Tamandua tetradactyla: one gene and its partner. The protein of the gene in region 1 purifies or fractionates together with the protein of each later gene. This does not show direct contact. Links are inferred from orthologs where the notes say so. Each region holds a gene or a part of one and is shown in the gene's direction. Other genes may lie near its edges.

What was found. Proteins that work in one complex are often made in the same cells at the same time.
Region 2: the proteins of SLC30A2 (region 1) and METTL9 purify together in Homo sapiens (co-immunoprecipitation; 3 studies listed by BioGRID and IntAct, with this or other methods). This does not show direct contact. The link is inferred for Tamandua tetradactyla from reciprocal best matches to the Homo sapiens genes SLC30A2 and METTL9.

Annotation. Positions count from the first base shown.
Region 1 is NC_135328.1:200,154,593-200,162,668, forward strand, and holds the start of SLC30A2 (proton-coupled zinc antiporter SLC30A2), read left to right. Parts: upstream 1-5,026; 5' UTR 5,027-5,225; coding exon 5,226-5,275; intron 5,276-5,955; coding exon 5,956-6,176; intron 6,177-6,746; coding exon 6,747-6,893; intron 6,894-7,595; coding exon 7,596-7,749; intron 7,750-8,076.
Region 2 is NC_135349.1:34,751,660-34,758,749, reverse strand, and holds the start of METTL9 (protein-L-histidine N-pros-methyltransferase), read left to right. Parts: upstream 1-4,065; 5' UTR 4,066-4,303; coding exon 4,304-4,468; intron 4,469-7,090. UniProt on the Homo sapiens protein: Protein-histidine N-methyltransferase that specifically catalyzes 1-methylhistidine (pros-methylhistidine) methylation of target proteins.

The DNA of each region.
Region 1 (8,076 bases):
CTGTGAGATGCTTCCCATCTCCTGTCTTTCAGGGTTGGAAGTTTGTCTCCCAGAGCGTTAACTCTCTTGCACCTCTACTCTACATCATTTGGTTTCAAAGGGTCCCGAAGGATACCACCTCATGTCCCCTCAAATGGCTATTATTCAACAAACGGAAAATACAAACCTTCTGTTGGGGCTGTAAAATGGTGCAGCCACTATGGAAAACAGTTTGGCAGTTCCTCAGTAAATTAAGTATAGAATTACCATATGACCTGATAATCCCACTTCTAGGGATATACCCTAAAGAACTAAAAGCAGAGACTCAGACAGATATTTTTACTCCAATGTTCAGAAAAGCATTATTCACAATAGCCAAAAGGTGGAAGCAAAACAACTATTAATAGATGAATGGATAAACAAAATATGGCATATCCAGACAATGGAATATTACTCAGCCATAAAAAGGAATGGAGTTCTGATACATTTACAACTTAGATAAACCTTGAGGACATCATGCTGAGTGAAATAAACCAGATGAAAAAGAACAAATAGTGTATAATTTTAATAATACGAAATACCTAGAATATGAAAATTCATAGAGACAGGAATTAATTACAGGTTACCAGGAGCGGAGAGCAGGAAGTTAATGCTTAATGATTATAGGGTTTCTGTTTGGGTTGACGGGAAAGTTTTGGTAACCGTTTGTGGCAATGAGAGCATAACATTGTACATGCAATTAATACCACAGAATTGCAGACTTGAAACCGGTTGAGATGGGAAATTTTATGTTGAATATATGTTACCACAATTTAAAAAATAAAAATAAAAAGAGGCCAGGTAAATTGGAACAGGGTGAGGCCTACGCACCCTCACCCCTTGCAGCTGCACCTCCTGGCTGATCAGGCAGAACAGAGGAGTCTGTGCCAGCTCCCTCATGGCCACTGTATGCCTCAACTTACCAGATGACCCCCAAAGAGGTCTCTCTCCTCAGCTATATATTTTTTCACAGTCATGGCTGGCCCTGTACCTCCACAGGGACGTGGGGTTCCCTCGTCTCTGTAATCCCAACATCTACCCAGCAAAGCCCCATCAATTTACCAGATTCCAATTTGAGGCCTGCCCCAGCTGAGGGCTGTCCGTCCTACCCCAAACACACATCCTTTATCTGCCCACATGACAGATGGGCAAACTGCAGCTGAGAGGGAGATGGGTGCCTGTTTAGTTCTGGTGAGTGGAATGTGGCAGGATGGAGACTACTCTCTCTAAGTACACAGGCCTGTCATCTACACTCAGCCCAGTCTCACTCATAACCTTCAAGCAGCAATTAAGCCCCACTTCACAGGAGCAGGATGGCTCTGGGTCTCAGGCCTGTGTGGCGACCCCCAGTCCCTGGCAGTTCTCTGGAATTGCTCCTGCTGCCCCCTGCCTTCAAAGCTTCCTTATGCAATTTGCACATAAAAAAAAATGCATAAAAAAGGTAAAACAGGTCTCCAGGAAGCACCTTCCAGAACATAACTGTACAAATCCACAAGGATGTAAAACAAGGATGGTTTATAGGAGTGAAAAAAGGAGACATAACCTCAGGGTCTAAAGGGATTGAACATATAAAGCATAGCACTTTGTCCAGAGGAGCAACCACTGCCCCTTAGGGAAACAATAAATCTGGATTGATTATAATGGAAGATGTCTGCAGCCTTGCTGTGAAAAGTCACAGGATGCCCATGGGGCTAAAATAGTAGTCATAATAGTAAACACAATAACAGTTCATGTATACTAGGAATTAACACTGTGTCAGGCCTGTGCATAACAATTTTTAAAAAACAATTAGTATTTCAATTTATGCATATCCTTCTCCAGATTATTTCTCAGGTTACTGATTATGTGGGAATTACATGACATGCTTGTTGCGTGTCAGCCTGATAGCTTGTCACTTATCTGCCAGAGAAGAGAGGGCACTCAAGGTTCTACAGTCAAAGCTTAAATTCCAGGAAGATATCTATCAATTGCAAATAAGTGTATCTCTACTTTGCCACACAAAGGTCTCTTCCTGTCCTTGCAAACTAGAACACTTAAGGGTGGTAAAAAATTGATCCAGAATCTTCCTTTAAGAGCATGCTACAAGATTGGAAACTGGCTCCAAAGGCATTATTCCAATGAATCTGGACTACAGTTACATGGGCTATTGCATCAGAGTCACCAAGGAGGTTTATTTCCCACCCTCAGCCCCTAAACCTTTAATTCTAGAAAATTGAAAACATTTTGAAAAGTAAGTAGAAGGAATAGTATAATGTGACCCCATGGACCATTACTCAGTTTCAACAACAGTTACTGACAGATCATCCATATCGCTTCTTCTATACCCTTACCCACTCCCCCACTGGGATAATCATTTTAAGACAAATCCCAGACATATACAGATAATTTCATCTTCAATACTTTAGATAAGGGTACTTAAAAAAATAGTAGTCAGTATACCATAAAAAATTATCAATAATTCTACAATAGGATCAAACACAGAGCGGGATTTTCAAAATTTAGATTCCCAGGCCCTACCCTTGACCTACTGAATCAGACTCTGGTTCTGGAATGTGGGAATCTACATTCTCAGATAAAATTCATCAAGTGATGGTGAGTCATTGGGAGCTGCTAGGTCATTCTGCGTAGGACCTCCTGGGCATCACTATAGGAGCCTTTTTTTTTTTTTAATTTTGAATGATCAATGTTAAAAATGTGAAACATATGGAAGCAGTTGCTTGTGAAGTCATTTGCATACTCTAGCTGCCTCATCATAGCTAGAACTTCCAGTACAATGTGGAATAATAGTGGTGACAATGGGCATCCTTGTCTTGTTCCCAGTCTTAGGGGGAATGCTTTCAATCTCTCACCATTGAGAATGATGCTGGCTGTGGGTTCTTCATATATACCCTTTATGATATTGAGGAAGTTTCCTTTGATTCTGAAGGAGTCATTTATATAATACAAATGGTCTTGGCCTTTTTCAGTATCTTCAAGTCTTGATTAATCTTTGGTTAGTTAAAATCTTGCAAATCATAAAAAATGCATCTTGAGAAATTGTTAATTTAAAGGAAAATTTGTTGTGCATATTTTTATAAAGTGAATATATGTAGCTGGATCCCATTAAAATCTGCATTTACTGAGAATTTACAATGTGCTTTGCTTTAAAGGGAGCAAAAGGGACCTAAAAGACACTTTTTTTCTTTTTTTGCATGGGCAAGCACCGGGAATCAAACCTGGATCTCCGGCATGGCAGGTGAGAACTCTGCCTGCTGAGCCACCATAGCACCGACCTAAAAGACACTTTTATAACGCATAAATGTTTTGCCCTCAGAGAGGTTAAAGACAAGAATCTAAGCCTAGGGCAGTTTGAAGCTACAACTGAGATCACCCAGTAAGAAACTCTTCCTGTGGGCAGCATCCACTTCACTTACTCTGATTAAATGACCAGCCCTATAGTTGTCTACTTTTTTACTCCAATCCAATTCACATGTATTTAATTAAGTGCCCAGTAGGTGCTCAGAGCAGAGCTAAAATGTAATAGAAGTACAAGATCTATCCCTGCCCTCAAAGAGCTTAAAATCGAATGGAGAGATAAGATGAACACCTATCTGAGACATCTTGCAAGAGCTTATGCAGAGGTTTAACGACTGTGCAGAAAATCCCATAGGGATCTTGCAAATACACAGATTTCCAGGTTCCACACCCAGAGATTCTGATTTAGTTGGCCTGATGCAGGGAACTGCAACCTGCATTCTAACACCTTCTCCAGGTAATGCCTGAGCCTACTGGTTCTTAGACTGTACCTTTAAGGAAATCAGGAAGCTTGGTAAAGTTTTCCACACTCAGAATCCTGAGGAGGTGGAAAGGCACTCAGTGGGGACCCAACCAGAGCAGGCATGCAATATCCCACACCACCCTGGCTCCTAGCACCTTGCCTCCTATGATGGCTCCTGTTGGGGGTGGGGGTGGGGAAGCAGTGGGGAGAGGGGTGAGATCTGAAGGAGTCCCTTCCTTTCCTACTGGTGTGGGCAAGAGACTTGAACCCCAGACTCTCTGCTCTGGGCAGGGTTATGCTCTCAACCCAGGGGACAAAGACCTAGGGTATGCTGGGGTGACTGGCCAGGGAGGCTGCAGCCGTTTCATACAGAGCACCTGTAAAAGGCCAGCATGGGGCACGCAAGGTCCCCACCGCTCAGGAACCATAGGAGGATGCTGCTTCAAGTGGGCGAGCCGCCAAGCTGTCAGGGAGGGACCCCGCGCTGTCCCGCACCTTCCGCCCGCATCTCCCCGCGTTGGCAGGCCCGGCTTCCTGGGGCTCCTGTGACCTGCTGCGGAGCGGGGAGGGATGGCTCTGCCCAGAGGCAACTCCTGATGAAGTGCCGCAGCGCTCTCCGCGGGGTGGAAATAAAGCCAGCCACTCCAGATTCTGAGGACGGAGGACAGGAGAGGAGGAACTGCTTCAGTGAGAGTCCTGTGGAGGGCGGGTGCCTCGGGCCTGAGGGGAGCGGCGCACCACCGCCCGCAGGGGTGCCTCAGTCTGACAGCAAGAACCAAGCAGACCTCAGGAGTCCCGAGGTGGAGGGGGAATACAGCCTGCCTCAGGAGCCCCTAAAAATGAGGCAAGGAGCCACCCTGCCGTCCTCAGGGAATCCAAAGAGGGTTCCTACAAACCAAGGTCCGAGCACTTTTCGGAGTGGGGTGCGGCCAGCCCCGCGCGGGGGCCTGAGTGGGCCTGGCTCAGCCCTGAGTCAGTCAGCCGGAGCGGCCGAGCGAGGCAAAGGTGCTTAGGCGCTCCTCGCAGGCCAGGTCGGCTCCTCGGGCCCCACGGCTGGTCGGGGGCAGTGGCGGAGCACCCTTTGCAGCCGGTCCCCTCCCTCCCCCTTCCCCGCGGGCTTTTGCACACGACGTGCGGCTTCACACGGGGTGGCGGGGCCGGATAAAGCGGGCCGCACGCGGGGCGCAGCGGCGGGCACCCGAAGGTGGGAGGGCCGCGCGCCGAGCCGGAGCAGCAGCCGTTGAGGGGCGGCCGGCGAGTGGCCAGGGCCGCAGCTGGGGCGCGGCGGAGCGAGCGGGCGGGCGAGGCCACGGGCAGAAGCGGCGGGAAAAGCGAGGGGTCAGCGGAGCGGCGCGAGCGTTCCTCCCCGCGCAGGAGCGCGAGCGCCGCGGAGCGTCCCGCGCGCTCCTTCGAAGGCGCACTCGGCTGGGCAGCCGGCGCGCGGGGCCGCATGAAGGCCACGGAGAAAAAGCATCTCTTGGACGCCAGACCCGGAGCCCGGTAAGGCGAGAGCATGGGGAGGGGCGAGAGTTGGAGCGGCATTAGACGAAACTCCCGGTTTGCCACCCTGGCAGTGGACGGTTTTGGTGGCGGCTTGAATTGGCACCACGCAAGAGGGATGGGGTGAGGTGACAGAGAGGGGAAATCGAGCGTGGGCTGGGGGGCGGGGGCTTATCCATCCCTCGAAGCCAAGAGTTGATCCCGACCCCTACCCGCCAAGAAAGGGGCTGCAGGTCGAATGCCCGGAGCCCTGCGACCAGCCCAGCACTTTGCCCCCTGTAGGCCCCGCCCAGGGGAGGCCCTCTGTCCCCAAGTGCAGGTGGGAGGAGGAGGGGGACGGGTCTGTCCTCCCTGAGCTCTGCTCCTTCTTCTCGCTAGGCTGAACCGGCCCCGCCTCTTGGCCAATTCCTGGAAGGGTTGGGGGAGGAGGGAACAGCTCTGGCTGTTCGTCTAAGGCCCTCAGACTCCTATACTGCTCATCCCATCTCCCAAGCCTTCACAGAACACGTGCTTCTCACCTACTGGTCACTCCTCAGAGACTTTGAGAGCTTGCAGTGTCCCTAAACAGCACCCCAACTCGACCCATTGGGAACGCCAAGGCCTCACAGCAAGGTGAGCCTAGAGTAAGCTCTTCTTGCCCCCACCTCAGAGCTGAGTCCTCTTCCTTCCGGTCTGGCCAGGTCATACACGGGATCTCTGTGGCAGGATGGGGCTGGCTGGATCCCTATGCGGCAGCCTGGCCTGGACTTGCAAGCCATTGAGCTGACCACCCAGAGCAACCATTACTGTCATGCCCAGAGGGCTCCTGGCACTCTCCGAGACCCCAAGAAGGAGAGGGCCCAGTGCCAGCTCTATGTGGCCTCTGCCATCTGTCTGGTGTTCATGATTGGTGAAGTCATTGGTAAGTCTGTGCTAATTCAACTGAAGTCTAACTAAATGATCCAAAAGGCTTTTCTCTCTCCTCGATGTTCCCAGGAATATTCACACTAAATAGCCCCAGTTTTTGAACACTCACTAAGCCCTTTACATACATTATTGCTTACAAGAAAGTGTGATGTCATATGTGTGCTGTTAACCTCCTTATTTTACAGAAGGGGAAACTGAGGTACACTGGGGTTAAGTAACTTGCCCAAGATTCACATATAGCTAGTAGGGAAGGGAAGGCCTGAATGCCTATAAGGAGAGAGCAGAGAGCATTGACTGAGTACCTGTTATGCTTTCTGTTACTATTTGAATTTGATATTCACATTCACCCTTTAAGTAGATGTTATCCCCATTTCATGGATGTGTGGAATTTAAGGCCCAGAGAGTGTCATTTGCCCACAATTACACAGCCAGTGGATAGAGCAATCTGGAACCCAGTGTGCTTGTCTCTGGAATCCCTGGTCTCTCCACTGCACATACAGTCTGGGAAGATTGTTCCTTGGGGAGCTGGTGAGGACCCTCCATCTTCCTGGCCATTCCCCTGCAGGTGGGTACCTGGCACATAGCTTGGCCGTTATGACAGATGCAGCCCACCTGCTCACTGACTTTGCCAGCATGCTCATCAGCCTCTTCTCCCTTTGGATGTCCTCCAGGCCAGCCACCAAGACCATGAATTTTGGCTGGCAGCGAGCTGGTGAGGACCCTGGTCAGGTTGGAGATAGAGTTCAGGGAAAGGGGATTAGGACATAGGTTCTCAGGGGGCTGAAATAGATGGAGCCCTGGGTAGGGCCAGGGGGATGCCTTGCGTTGATCACCCTGGCCTCTGGCCTCTGGGAGCTCCCAATCTGGTGCAGAAGTCCTGACCCTTGTCCTCCAGAAACTCCCAGGGTGTTGGGGGAACCCTGGTCCCAGTCATCGGGACCTCCCAAGCTATAGGAAAGGAGGTCACTTACCTAAGAAATTCAGGGGCCAAAGTTCATTAGCAAAATGCCTGGCATTCACCTCCATGGAGCAGCTCAGTGGGGAGGCGGAGAGGGATAGCTAACAAAGCCTTCTGAAAGATACAGGCTTTAAACCCCCTTTTAATTCTGGGCTGCTCTGTCATTTTCCTCTTGATGGGAGATGGCCCAGCCTGTCCTCATCCTTGCCAGCTGAGCAATGGGTATGTAGGTCAGTTTTTTTCCATATAAAACAAAAATGACTTACATCCTTTTTAGGTCTGATATTTGGGTAGTGGGGCAAGGTGCACCCGTGCCAGTCATTCCCTCAGCAGAGCCCAGTTAGGCCCAGGCATTGGCTTGGCTCTCTGGGGGTGAGGGGGATCATAGAGGGGAGGTTCTCCACAGCCCTAGGGACCTAGGCTGAGGTTGGTGCTGGGGGCTGGGTTTCTCCTCAGAGATCCTGGGAGCCCTGCTCTCTGTGCTATCCATCTGGGTTGTGACTGGGGTGCTGGTGTACCTGGCGGCAGAGCGGCTGGTCTCTGGTGACTATGAGATCAAGGGGGGGACCATGCTGATCACGTCCGGCTGTGCCGTGGCCGTGAACATCATGTGAGTATGGCCACTTCTCATACACACACTCTCATACCCAGTCTTGGAGGAAGGAGGCCATGCCACGGTCCACTAGAGGCTGCAGGGAGAATTTCCCCAGTGCTCCGAGCACTGGAACCTGAGACACCTGGGTCCGGCCTGAGGCCTAGGCCAAGGCCATCTGGAACTGCAAACCTGGAGCAGCATCAACTTCACACACCACCAGCTCCCTTCTACCCATAGACGTCAGTGAATAATGACCTTGGAGCCTCATACCTGATGTGGGGAGGGATGAGTCTAGTTCCTGCAGTAGCAGATGTCCCTGGGGGCAGGACAGAATTCATGTCC
Region 2 (7,090 bases), on another chromosome or scaffold:
CTATTTCACACAATTCTCAGTTTGAGAAAGTGACTCGTTTGGTGGAGCCTGGGACTTAGGACTCTCCTTAACGGAATTTGTCTTGTATGAGACTAAGTTTTAAAGTAGATGGCGGCTCACTGCTGGGACTGCTTAAGTCACTTGTCCAGAGAGAACAAAGTTCTGACCCACTTCATGGTTCAGTACTAACAATGGCTGGTTAGGGAGCTGATGATATTGGGCACTGTGCTGACAGCTGTGCTAACATGATCTCATTTATTCTTCTCCAAAGTCCCATAAGAGCCTGTGAAGTGCACAGAGATTCTTTGCATCCTACATCAAAGCCGAGAAGCACCCCGTTTCTGTTGTCACAAGTATTGGGTGCACCTATAGTCCAGGAAGAACTTGGGCAACTCGGAAGCTCTCAAGCTCAATAAGGAAATGTCAAAATGAGGACCACAATGCCACACTTCCTCAGGGCAGCTTTCCCTGAACACTACCCCCATTCCACCCTCAAGTAAGGCATTCCTGTTATAAGTTCTTCTAACACATAGACTCTTTCTAGCACTCAGAAGTTTTAAGTATATATTCATTGTATAATTACTTGTTTGGTCTGTCTCCCTACTAGACAGTAAGCTCTATGAGGATTTTATTTTGTTTTCCTTTATGCCTAGTTTAGTGCCTGATGTAAGTAAATACCCAGAAAGTATTTATTGAATAAATGAAGATGGTCTGAGGAGAAGCTATCAGTTGTAAGAGAATGTTTTAGGGAGAGTAGCTTTGCAGAATTCACAGTCATATCAGAACTGAATATTCCTATTATGATAATCTTGGTTGAATGTTTTACAGTTTATGAAGCTTTAAGATCATCTGATTCTCACAGATTGTGAAGTAGGCATCATGGCCCACAGATTACAGATGATGAAAGGGAAGCTCTGAAGAGGTTGGTTTATCCAAGAGAAAATGAAAAGAACAGAAATTTAGCATTTTCTATGCACTCACAATGTGTTGAGGTGCTACACTACGCCCTTTAAATTTAGAATATATAATTTCATCCTCACAATATCCCTAGAGATAGGTAACTATTATTATTATCCCCATGCTACAGATGAGAAAACAGACGCCTGGAGAGGTCCAGTAAAGTGATTTAGATTATTGAATAACCAAGAAGCACAGGACCAGGTTTCAAAAACCAGGTAGCTTGTCTCAACAATGCAGATGATAAACCCCTATGCTAATATGTAGCATTGAGAGGACGCTAACGTAGTTGCTGTGCTATTTGTACTTGGTACTGCAGGGCTTCTGATTCCTGGTTTAATTCTTCTACTTCATGCATGTTTGAAGTTTCACCTGGACTTAGAATTTATCATTCGGAGACCACTGTGATGTGACTTGTATATGACTGCAATCATATGAACTAAATTCAGGTCAAACCCTGTACACTCATTCATTTTACTTTTGAGAGGTTTCTTGTTGCACACATCTATTGAATATGTTGGGAAAACTTGGTCTAATGTTCTACAAAACATTATTATGCAACATAAAAAAATTTAAGCCCTTGAAAACGTAATGATAAAAAGTTCTTTTTTGACTATATCTCCTCAAAGAGAAAACAATGGCCAATACTGTAGGCACTGTACAGATCCAAGCCTCTAATCATTTAGGATCTCTGAATATTACACTGTGAAATTGAAGAGAGAACATGAAAATGCTTTATCATTTAAAAGAATAAGCAAATAAAAGCCCTTTCTTCGACTTCTGGATAGGAACTCAATCCACTCAAAATTTCAGGTCTGCAGAGGTCTGTGACAGGTTTCCACAAGTGAGATATGGCACTAGGCATGGGCTCCTGGTTAGGAAAACTGAGGAGAGCTAGGCACAAAGGGTGCCAGCTATGCATCTTTTGATTATCACTGACAGCATTTCAGAGCCAAGTTAGAAAGGGTAATGGCTCGAATTATTCAGCTTTTTGTGTTATCTGCGCCTCTTCCCCTTTGCATTATGGATAACTGAGGTTTTAATCTACAGGAGTGACATTCTAGTAGATAAAGGAAGGGGGCAGTCCCCAAGAGCAATCTGAACTTCTGCTTAGTATATTTACTCTTGCTGTTTTCCTTCCTCCTCATTTGTAATTGAGGAGACTTTCTGACAAGAGAGTGGCATCGGGGCTTCTTAGATGGATCAAAGGACCGTGAGCTGGGATACCAGGTTCTATGAAAAGGTCTGCTATTGAATTTGCTCTGCTACCTTTAGGCAAATCATTTGATCACGCTGCGCTTTGGTTTCTTCCTGTGCTTGCTAAGTGTAAATAACATGTATTTGATTATTTTGTGGTTACTATAGAGTATTTTAAATGTGTGGGTAATTTATTCTTCCAGGCCAGCTGCTCAGGTATAAAGTAAAAATCTGCCCCTTCGAGATGCTAGACTTCTTAGGAGTTAGCTGACCCCAAATCCTTCAGGCTACAACAGCATTTAGTTGTTTCACCCTTTCAGTTTCCAAGTTGCCTGCTCAGCAAGCTTACTTTATAAGGGGTGGGAGAAAGGGACATATCTTTTTGCCTCCTTTGTCTTCAGAACGGAAATATGCCGTTTGTCTGCTGCTTCCACCCTCCTCCTCCCACTTTGAAAAGATGAAGGCTTTCTTTTGGCACACAGCTCCTGTATCTGTAACACTGATCCCAAGACAAGAGGGAGAGGTGACACAGTAAACAAACTGAGTTATTTGAACTCGCTACTTTAGTTTCTTTTTGATGATTTGGGCCACTATCATTGGAGGTTTGAAGTAGATTTAATAAGATGTAGTAGGCTCTTTGAGGTTTTGGCAGGAAGCAGACAGGGAGTATAATGGAAAGAGAGAACACAAAGTACTCCCTGCCCCCTTCCCCCCATCCCCCTTTACATTAGGCAACAAGATGTCCCTGTTAGTGAAAGGTGTCAAGCTGAGATTCTCAGAAGCTAATAAAAATATCTGTGGGTTAGGAACGAGGCTGCTGCTTATCAGATCACCACACCACTGTTTCATAAATGAAAAGCTCTGAAATGCAAATTTGTCATTAACCTAAAGATTGTTCTTTTGTTTTCGACTGAAATGTATTTACATTATTTCTGGTGTAGTTAAATTAAAAGCGTTTTTAAACAGACAAACCTAGAAAGGTGTTATTAAAGCTAGAGGATCCATGAAATACGTTACTCCTCGGCTGTAGCTTGGGTAGCGGCAGGAAGAATTTTAGACATAGGAACACTGTGTAACCCTTCAGTTTTCAGACGTTGCTAGGACTCCTAGTGCTACACAGGCGTAAACATCCGGGTAAGCACCGCTCCCAGAGCTTACTTAGCCTGAATGTTTGGTCCAACTTCCGTCTGTGAGTTCAAGAAAACGAGCAGCCAGCGACTCTAATTTGGGGTCTCCATCCTTAGGCAGGGCCATCAACACATCAAAACATTACCTGCCCAACTGCAGTAGCTTTCAACAAAAGCAGAGCCTTTGGCCCGCAATGTGCCAGGCTTGGGGGCACGGGGCCGGTGGTGGTATCCTTTATCCCTAGATTCCTATAATGTCCTGCAGTTCATGTGAAGCAGGACGGAGGCCCTTGGCACTGGGGGTTTGACTCGACGCCTCTAAACATAAACTGGAGGTATGCAGCCATGCCTGAACAGTTAAGAACTGGCAGCGTTTGTCTCTGGGAAGGACTTGGTTCTTGAGTGTTAAGACGTAAGAGGGGCTGACCCGCTCTCACCCCTCCACCCCCGGCCAATCTGCCCAACAAGGTGGGCGCACCGCCCGGGTGTGGGATGAGGCGCCCAAATGCAACAATTACGGCGATGAAAGACCAGCAGTCCTGCGGGAACCACCTTGGAGGAGCGGAGGGGCTTCAGTTACCGCCTTTGGAAACGACCCCTCCTCCCCTAGAAAAATTAAAATCATCTCCGCCATTACGTGGAGCCGTGGCAGAGACAGGAAGCGTGGACGCGCACCGGGCGAATGAGCGCTCCTTTTGTCCCGCCTCCCGGCCCGCCCGCTCATTGGACAGAGGGAGAGCGCCCCGGGGAGCACGCGCTCCAGCCGCTCGTACGTGCTCCGGCTGGAAACTGGCGCCGCCCGCGGCTGCGTTCCGGGGACGGAAGGGAAAGGGGCGGTGGGAAGGCTGCGTGTGAGTCGGCCGCTCCTCCCCATCCCCCGCCTCGGCCCCGAAGGGGCTGGATGGGCAAGTTGGGCGCGATGGCTCGAGCGCCGGCGGCGGCGGCGGCGGCCGGAGGCGGCGGCGCCTCCTCCTCCTCGCCCCGGCGCGGGCGGTGATCTGAGCGAGCGGCCGCGGCCCCCGATGAGACTGTTAGCGGGCTGGCTGTGCCTGAGCCTGGCGTCCGTGTGGCTGGCGCGGAGGATGTGGACGCTGCGGAGCCCGCTCACCCGCTCCCTGTACGTGAACATGACGAGCGGCCCGGGCGGGCCAACGGCAGCCGCGGGCGGCAGGAAGGAGAACCACCAGGTACACTGCCGGACCCCGGGCCGGGGCGGGGGCGTGGCGGCCGGGCCTTCCCGCGCTGAGTCCGGCTATTGTGCCGGGTGGCTCGGCACCGCGAGAGGGAGGCCGGGCCCTCGCTCCACGGTGCCGGCGCTTCGGAAAGTTTTCCCCCCCGACTCCCCGGCCGGGCGCCGGTCCTCCACCCCCGGGCGCCAGGGCCCGGCCGGGTAGCGTCTTTTGTTCCACGTCGCGGGCAGAGCACGGCCTCCTTTTTCTCCTTCCCGGGCCCGAGCGTGGGCGCCCAGGAGCCCCGCATTGTCCCCCGGTCCCCGGAACTGATTGCAGAAGCCCGGCCACCTCGGCGGCTGCTCCCGGCGGCAGGATGGGAGGAACTTTGGGGCCGGTGCGTGGCGGGGGGCACCCGCCTAATACCGGGGCCTGAGATCCAAAAGAGCCTCTCAGACCGGTCAGCCCGGACAGCCTTCATAACCTCTGGGAAACATAACGAAAAGCCGGTGCATCTTTCTGTCTAGTTGAATCTCTGAGCATACAAAGGGTCATAAAGAAATTTAACCATGCATCGTGAGCCATTTCACTCTCCGGGCTTATGCAGGTGACATCTTCCCTAAGCATTAAAAAAATATGTTTGAAAGGTCCTGACTCCCATCCTACGGAACCTTCCTTTCTCATCCTTCCCAGGGGAGATTTCCTTTAAACTTCTATTTAAGTATCTGACCGGAAAGATGTTTATGAGGAGGAAGATGATGCAAGCTATTACAGGAAGGGCTTTTAAAAACAGAACTGGGCTGGAGTTGAATTCCTTTAAGAGTTGTACTTGGGGATCGTGAGTGATGCGATGTGACCCGATTACCGTCTTATCATTAGCCCAGTTTTGTGTCACTTAAAGAAGTACGGGCAGTTCAGCTGTAGAATTAAGAGTGAGCTGTTTCATATTTGACCACACTTGCGGTTAACATTACGTTCAATTAGAAGAGGCTTTTGAACTCTGCTAGGGTGCTGGCTCATAATAGCTAGCATTTATGATACAGAGAGTAGTGGCTAATTATTCTCCATGTCGTCTTGTGTATCATTTTCACATTTCTTATTTTTCTGTGTTATTTTTCTTAGAATGCCAGATATTCAGATAGTTTACACTGAGGTTGATTTCGTGTGACTTAATGACAGTAAAGAATTATCTAAGAAGTGGATAAAGCAGTTTATTCAGAAAAGAGACATTTTAGTTTTGACTTAGTGAATATGTAGGTCCCCTTTTCCTTTATTGAAAGGAATCCTAAATTTATGTTTATAGAAAATACGTATATTTTTTGTAATCTCTCAGGTATTGTAGTTTGTTAGGCAGTCATTCCTGTGATAGTGTAAGAAGTGGTAAAACCACGTTCATTGCTATGGAATAATTATTTTAGTTAATTAAGAAACAACTCTAAAGTCCTGTACTGATAACTGCTACTAAAATGACGTATTCATATAGAGTATGGATAATGGCATAGAATGATTAATTAGAAATGTCATTTTTAACAAAGATTTGATAGAAAAACGGTCTGGATAAGGAAAAAAAGGCTTATTTCCATTGATGTAGAATTATGATTGGGTGTTTTATTTGAACACTTATTATCACCTGTTCTGCAGCAAACTTGATAAGTTTTCATTGCTCATAAAAGAGTAGATTTATTTTAAAATTTGAAAAACTGTTTAAGCAATTTGACTTTTATGGAGCCTAGTAGAATTATAACTGGTTGTCATAGCCTCAGAATGTCTCCTAACAGGATGCCTTCTAATTGTGTACGTTTTAAAAACTGTCTGTCACACTTAGGAAAACTTCATCTGAGATTATATTCGTGTGTGTGTGTGTGTGTAAACACGTATGTGTTTTAACCATTTGCACTGACAGTTTCACAGATTTCTCCATGGTGAAGTCTAATCTGGTGCTTTCTGAGTATTTAGGGGGGATTGACTATTTTACTTAGAATAATGAATCCAGACTTTGTTTCGAGATGAATACGTTCACATTGTGAAAATTTCTTTTATGAGTAAAGATTAAAATAAAAAGTATATAGAAAACACAGTAAGATAAAGTGAGGTAAGAGACTATTCTACGCAACTTGGCTAAATGTATTATATTCCAGGATCCTAAATTTACCTTTTAATTTCTTGCTTATAAAGTAACTTTACTCTTAATGTTTTTTTAAAAATTTTTTAGAATTAATAGTTTTATGTAAAGTCTTCTGGTGTTCATCTGGTGGTGTTGATTCCATAGCCAACCACATCTGGTTCTTTTGGAATTGCTTGAAAGGGTTGTGGATTTGATTGAGCTGTACTTAGCACAAGTTTTCCTTCTGGTTATTTTATTAAGGGATTATGGTAGAGTGTTCCATGGTTAAAAGAGAAATCTTGTGCAATGTTTATTCATTAAAAATTGCTACTTAGTATAGCTTGGAGATGGAAGGGCCCCTACTGGTAGGCAGCTCCTCATGCTAGAGGGAAAAACATGAGTGAGAAAACTGGTTTCTCTTACTTTGGGCAAGTGAAAAGCAGGGGCGTCTTTTAGAGCAGGAAAATGGCCTGCGGGCCAGTTTGGACTCATTGACTTTTTTTAGGCTTGCTGACTTTTTGTACTGGCTGTGAAGA